2 linked regions of the Xenopus tropicalis genome follow. The protein of the gene in region 2 binds, or shares a complex with, the protein of the main gene of each other region. Links are inferred from orthologs where the notes say so. Each region holds a gene or a part of one and is shown on either strand. Other genes may lie near its edges.

What was found. Proteins that work in one complex are often made in the same cells at the same time.
Region 1: the proteins of map2k1 (region 2) and ksr1 are in contact, whole or in part, in a crystal structure (PDB 9AXH), measured with the Homo sapiens proteins. The link is inferred for Xenopus tropicalis from reciprocal best matches to the Homo sapiens genes MAP2K1 and KSR1. Residues at the interface, in NP_002746.1 of Homo sapiens: Asp217, Ala220, Asn221, Ser222, Phe223, Val224, Gly225, Thr226, Arg227, Ser228, Met230, Arg234, Leu235, Gln236, Gly237, Met308, Ala309, Ile310, Phe311, Leu314, Asp315, Val318, Asn319; in XP_011523731.1 of Homo sapiens: Asn767, Gln768, Leu769, Lys770, Leu771, Ser772, His773, Leu776, Val784, Arg785, Met787, Thr788, Pro789, Asn823, Gln824, Ala825, Ala826, Glu827, Ala828, Ser829, Ile830, Trp831, Gln832, Gly834, Ser835.

The regions. Positions count from the first base shown.
Region 1 is NC_030678.2:104,961,043-104,964,701, forward strand, and holds part of ksr1 (kinase suppressor of Ras 1), read left to right. Parts: intron 1-1,450; coding exon 1,451-1,505; intron 1,506-2,425; coding exon 2,426-2,474; intron 2,475-3,198; coding exon 3,199-3,587; intron 3,588-3,659.
Region 2 is NC_030679.2:117,157,117-117,160,775, forward strand, and holds part of map2k1 (dual specificity mitogen-activated protein kinase kinase 1), read left to right. Parts: intron 1-465; coding exon 466-676; intron 677-790; coding exon 791-937; intron 938-1,218; coding exon 1,219-1,296; intron 1,297-1,491; coding exon 1,492-1,543; intron 1,544-2,105; coding exon 2,106-2,230; intron 2,231-3,659. UniProt on the Homo sapiens protein: Dual specificity protein kinase which acts as an essential component of the MAP kinase signal transduction pathway.

The DNA of each region.
Region 1 (3,659 bases), on a different chromosome or scaffold from region 2:
GCAGCTTAGGTAAAGAACAGGTTTGTTTATAGAGAGTTCGTCTGCATTTAAACAAATTTCGCTGTTTGCAAGGGGAGGGCAAGGTCAGGGAAAAACAAAACAAAAAAATTCTGTTACTGGTTTTAATAGCAAAATATGAATGTTTTTACTTGAAATGATAGCTATGATATATTTTCAATGAGCTGTGGTTGCTCAAACATGACACATGACACACAAAAAAGCAAGTGTTAGGCTAATGCCAGATGTGTCTCAGCATTTGTATAAAACGTAGGTTGATAAACAGCTGTTCAATGCTTGTATGTCTGCACTCATAGGCACTGCACTGTCCTGTGTGCACATACGGAGTGGATTTCTTAAAAAAAAAAAAAAAAGCAAGAGTATGAATTTTTGCTCTAAATATTTCTCCGTGTTCACACAGGCCAACGCAGTGCTTGTCAGTGCAGACAGAGGAGTGAGCAGAGTAGAGTGAATCGGCCTACCTTTATACACAACCTATAAGACTTCTACGTCTGGCATTAGCTCTATCCCTATTATATATTGATAATATACTTGATAACCTACACTGACCAAAATTAAAGGAAAAAAACAGCCAATGTTTGTTGAATCACTTATTATGCAGAAAGGTGCAAAGTCACCTCATTGAGTCTGCTTGATTATCTATAATGGACATATCTGCCACATGAACACCTGTGCCTAGCTACAAAGTCACGGGGGCCACGGTGATTCACTAAACAACGTTTTCTGTTCACATGTATCAAAATACTGTTAGTTAATTAAAATACTTAGTTTTTCTTTAGGCAATAAGAATTCTTTTAACTTGTATGATGCAATTACATGCAATTGTCTTTATGAAGGGGCATAAGAGATTCAATTCAAGGATATAAAACTTTTCTCCTGGTTCAGTTTGTTTTTTCCCTTAGACTTCAATAGAGTTTTCATGTGATAAACCATGAGATAAGTTTTTTAAATTAAATTGAATCTCCTCCATGAGTTTTCATGTGAAAACTCCTTTTCTCACCAAACTAAATCTGGCCCAAAACATCAGGTTTGTATTGTATTTTCATGTTGCAGTAATCTTGGTTAACCACTTGATGGTGCTAACAGCACAAACTCGAACAATGACCATGCAATTCCACTAATGTGCTGTTCTCCACCCAAAAATTGTTCTTTATATAATGAAAGAAAATGTAATTGAAAACAAGCTTCAAATATACGTTAATTAAACATTTCAATGATTTTAAAGTTTTTGTAAGTGCAATTGATATAAGTATTTTGTATATTCAAAAGCAGCAGACAGATAACTACTTTCCATAACAATTACAGTATATTTGGTGGAGATAACTTTTAATTTGAGGACAGAGAAATTCCTATATTTAACAGATGCTATTAATACAAGATATGTATTGTATATTATGTATTGATTGCATGTCTTTTTTATTTATTATTGTAGAAGTATCTGTCACTGCCCAAGCATCGCATGTTTCTGAGACTTCAGAGAACTCCAGGTAATGTGCTAACTGCTGTTGAATTCAGATGATTCTTTTCATTTCCTTACATTTGTTAGAGATTGCCCCTTCAGTCATGTATATGCCATATGGCGGATCCAGTGGAGACATTTTTAACATTAGATCAGAAGCAAGTCTACTTGATTGCATGTTTTTTTCTGCAATCATATACAAAAGTGTATATGTTTATTATTCTACATTTTCAGAGTACATTCATATACAACTGAATTGCTGTTTTAATAATTATATCCAAAAGCAATACTTTTATCATTTAAAAACTGTAATGTTTTGAAGCATCTGTACCAACATTAATTATAATGTGTGTCCCTTGCATCCATTGATGGACAGTGTCCCTGTATCTAAATGTGCTTCTGATACCTTGTATCACTCCTCAAATCAAGTAAGAAAATTAGATAAGTCTGTGTGAAAAGTTCAAAGCCGATCCCTGCCAAAGTTGATGGACTTCCCACAAATCCTTTTAGTTCAAAACAAACAAGAAAAACTTCAGCGCCATTGGCTAAGGGATAGAAACAGCAAAAAAAATATATGTAGTGTAATATTTTCTCCTTTTGTGGTCCAATATATCAGTACCACTGCAGATAAGGGATTTGTATATCGTTCCTGGAGTTTTTTGGTTTTAAAGATTTGATCTCTTTTCTACTGATCACATGTATAATTATATATTGGACCACAAAGTGTGTATTGTTAAGAGAAAATACTACACTGTATAGATTTTTTTGCTGTTTCTATCCCTTTGTCAACTCCTCAAATCAAAGCTGCCTTCTACACCCAGCAGAAATAATTGGCTTCCTACAAACGTAAAATTGATCTGATTTGGCATTCTACCTTTGGCAACAGCAAAACATTCACCTATTCTAACTACATATGTGTTTTGAGATATTATTCTGTATTATTCCTAGTGCTGAGGCTGAAATGGAAACTGATGTGGCAGAAGAGCAAGAAGCTGAGGTAAAGTGGCTCATCATGTACAGTCATGGAATGGGAGCATACAATAAATGTCATTATAAGGTGCTCCGTACCTAATAAATGTATTGGGATGTTAGGAGCCAAATGTAGCATTATTTGAAATCATATCTAAATTTTGTATGATAGTAGAAGGTATATTGCTTTAAAATAAGAAATAGTTTCTTGTGTAGGGAAATCTCAAGGGGCTCTACAAGGCTTCATGTTGTCTGCACTCAGGAGACTTCTCGTAATGATTAGGTATCACATCCCTTGCCACCATTCCTGTGTTGCCAGATTTCCAGCCTACCAGAAGCACATCTCAAGAGAGAGGTTGTTTTTATCCCTCCTAGAAACATTACTGCCAGTGCACATGCAACAGTTGTATCAAATAGGAACAAAATGGCACACGGTCATTCAGAAAATGCCATTGTGACTGCAGTATATATATATATATATATATATATATATATATATATATATAGATCATAATATATGATGCTAGGTGCCTTTCACTTGAAAGAGAACCCCCTTCCCCCCATGCAGTGGCAGCCGTAGTGTAAACTGATTTATCAGACATTTTTAAATATAATGGATGAGGTACAGTTCTGTAAGTAGGGTATATGCAACAATACCCATGTATTTAAAAAAAACTATTATTACCTAAGATCACTGCCTGAATATTCAAATGCAACTGAATATGGACCTAATTATTATATATTTACTACAGGTGGAAGAGCAGGATGCCAATAAATCTGAGCCAGAGTATGACGATGATGAGCTTGATGAGCTTCCTAACTCCAGATACACAAGTGGAACTTTCAGGGGAATGATCATCCGCAAGGCGAGCCAGACCAGTGTATACCTGCAAGAGTGGGATATTCCCTTTGAGCAGATAGAACTTGGGGAGCTCATTGGCCAAGGCAGATGGGGAAAGGTGTTTAGAGGCAAGTGGCACGGTGAGGTAGCCATACGTTTATTGGAGATAGATGGAAATAATCAAGATCACTTAAAACTCTTCAAAAAGGAGGTGATGAACTACAGACAGACGCGGCATGAGAATGTAGTTCTGTTTATGGGAGCATGCATGCATCCTCCTCACTTGGCCATCATCACCAGGTCAGTGGTGTTTCTTTTCTGGTTGTAAGCCATATATTTATTGAATGTAAAAATATATTGGATAAAATATCA
Region 2 (3,659 bases):
AACACAACTGTGTATTAAAAGAACGTCTGAGCTGATATTACAGGTCAGCTCAGACCCCATAAAGTGAAACCACATGTCCTGCAACCCTGATCCTTTTTATCAGGGGTCCCCAACTTTTCTTACTCGTTAGCCACAGTCAAATGTAAAAAGGCTTGGGAAGCAACACAAGCACCATAAAAGTTCATGGAGGTGCCAAATAAGGGCAGAGATTGGCCATTAGGTAGCCTCAATGCACACTATCGGCTTACAGGGGGCTTTATTTGGTGCTAAATCTTGTTTTTATTCAGCCAAAACTTGCCCCCAAGTCAGGAATTCAAACATAACTACCTGGTTTGGGGACACTGAGAGCAACATCCAAGGGGTTGGTGAGCAACATGTTGTCCCCGAGCAGCTGGTTGGGGATCACTGCTTTTATAGAATCATAAAACTCCTTTGAGATTTCTTATTTTCCTTTTCTCTTTGTAGGACAAACCTTGAAGCTCTGCAGAAAAAGTTGGAAGAGCTGGAGCTGGATGAGCAGCAGAGGAAGCGTCTAGAGGCCTTTCTCACCCAGAAGCAGAAAGTTGGGGAGCTGAAGGATGATGACTTTGAGAAAGTGTCGGAGCTTGGAGCAGGCAATGGAGGAGTGGTGTTTAAGGTGTCCCACAAGCCGACTAGCTTGATTATGGCCAGGAAGGTGAGATTTTTGAATGGAGTTTAAGTAGAAATAAAGACAGAAGGAAAACGTGAATTTGTTATTAATTTGTGCATAAGAATACAATGATTGACATATTCTATTATTTTCTGGCAGTTAATTCATCTGGAGATAAAGCCTGCAATCAGAAATCAGATTATCCGAGAGTTGCAGGTTCTGCATGAATGTAACTCCCCATACATTGTGGGGTTCTATGGGGCCTTCTACAGTGACGGAGAGATCAGCATTTGTATGGAACACATGGTGAGAATTAGGGAGGGACTTGAAAGGCCAGAGCTCAGAGCCTTTGGGATAATGAGCTAATGATAAGGAGATTTAAACTGTGCTCTAGTCATTAGCTGAGGCATCAGATACACTCAGGACTGTATCTATACAAGGTGTACACCTTTAGGGCGAAGACACACAGGGCGATTAGTCGCTGCTTTGAAAAGTCTTACTGGCTTAATTAAAAGTTGCGGCAACTAATCGGCCTGTGTGTAAACTTGTATTTTCTTTGCTTGATCTTCTATTTTTTGCCCCTGCAGGATGGAGGCTCCCTTGATCAGGTTTTGAAGAAAGCTGGCAAAATCCCTGAGAAAATTTTGGGAAAAGTCAGCATTGCAGTGAGTATTTAGCAAATGCAAATTTGTGATTTATATATATAAGAAAACTATCCAACAAAATCAAATCCTTCCAATTATATGCTCATTCATATAGAGGGCATCCTGGAAAGTAAAAGCTGTAATTTATACTACAAGTTTTAATGTCATGTGTTACACTTGCTCCTGTCAAATTCTGATATCCATTTCTAACTGCAGGTGATAAAAGGTCTAACCTACCTGAGAGAGAAGCATAAGATAATGCACAGAGGTAAGTTTCTATATGGAAGGGCCCTCATTGACTCATTGATGTATAACGCCTTTTAAAATGTTCAGCTTAGGACCGGAAAGATCATTCTGTATTGAAAACCGCTGTTATAGCGTAACAATAAAAAAAACTCACTGTAGCACTAATGGTGCCATGCCAACCACAATGGCTTTATATAGAGAGATGTCTCCTATTAACTAGGATTAGGTGTTTGAGGAGAAATAATGTGCTTCCAGTAGCATAAAGGCATATACCCTACGTAAATCTTAATGTTTAATAGCTCAAAGTGCTTTTATGAGCCCCTTTGCAATGTTATTATTTTCTTTAGTAACAACCTTGCTAAACAACATTAGCTTTATTTTCTGAATCAGGATGTGTTCTATTGATCCTGTCACTAAGCAATAGAACTGAACAGGAAAGCATCAAGAGAGGCTTCCTGCTTCAATAAAATAAGCTTTGCCATTCTACCCAGCCCCCACACACTTTTACCAATTTTACATTCCGTTATTGGGTTAGGTATATGTCCCTTTTAAAAGTCATTTTTTTTTTTTTGTTTGTTTTGCAGATGTGAAACCTTCTAACATCCTAGTCAACTCTAGGGGAGAGATAAAACTCTGCGACTTTGGAGTCAGCGGGCAGCTAATAGACTCCATGGCAAATTCCTTTGTTGGGACAAGATCCTATATGTCAGTAAGTGTCCTCCAGTTCCTCTTCACCCCAGAGCATATGTTCAGTGACAGCTATTCTTAAGTGCTTGTGAAAATACAATGTTGCACAGGGGTTCCCAAATACGAAATGTACATTAATTTAATTGTAGTCATGTAAGGGTTTTGTAAAGCTGTTTCTATTATTTGAGGCAGATTCACTTTGATATACATCTTACTGCTCTTAGGATCTGAACACCCCAAGGGTCCCAAACCATAACACACCACATTTTTCTCAATGTATATTAATAAACATGGTCCTACCCCTTCCATGGTGAATTTGCAATAATGTGTGAATTTTTCAGGTAAATATACATTTGAAACATGTTACAGTCATTGGAGCTGATCTCCTATTGCCATGTTATGTGTTTATGCATCGACTGCACTCTGCACAGAGTCACGTGTGTTCACACTGTGTGTCAGGCAGCAGATGGAGAATGCCCTCCCACACTGTGCAATGCTCCGTGTGTGTGTGTGTGTGTGTGTGTGTGTGTTTGTAATTACAGCTCGTCACATTCTGGCTGTTGGGGGTGGTGATGCTTGTTCTTTGTATTCTGGAAGGAGTCTGCCCTAATTACTACATTACAGATGGTGTATATATTATGTAATGCTACAAAGCAAAGTGCATATACACTTGGTCAGTTACAAAGGTTTGTATGTGTGTAGGGGTGGATATAGATGTATAAGTTAGGGAGGAACTCCTATAACCAGGTAAGTCATCTTGGTACCCATGAAGTAATGCAGACTCAAAAGCAAGGAATTTGTTAATAGCCCTGTTCTGTGCACCTTGCAGCAGTTAGTGCAGAACAAATAAAGTACTTCCGTTTGCTAACTTTCTTAGGTCTTCAGAACAATTGTGGAAGTAGTAAAAGGAAGTTGATATGGGTAATTCAATCTCAAGTTAATTTTCAGAAGAATAGAATGTCCTATTAGCAGCCTTTTTGCATTCTTTTCCTTTGTTTCCTTTATAGTTTTTAAATTGTTTACCTTTCTCTTTCACCTTTCAAATGGGGGAAAAAACTGTTGTTCCGAGTTACTTTTTATGACTTCTTTTTCTATCAAGGCCCTTTCCTATTTGTTCTTTGGTCTCTAATTCAAACCACTGCCTGGTTACCAAGGTACATTGGACTTTCAACAGCTATCTGGCTTCTAGGATCCAAACTGGAGAGTAAGGTTGCCACATGGCCACTATTTTACCAGCCTGGGCAGTAAAAATGATGCTTTATGCCAATGTTATTAAAAGGGGAAAAAAGTTAAAAATATAGGAAGCCTGGTGTTTCCAAAAAAAGGTGGCGACCCTACTGAAAAGTTGCTTAACAAAAAGCTAAGCAGTTGTAAAAAAAACAAAATTTTCTTAGAAAATTACATTCTACAACACACACACAGAACCAGAAAAATGGACACCAACCTGGGGT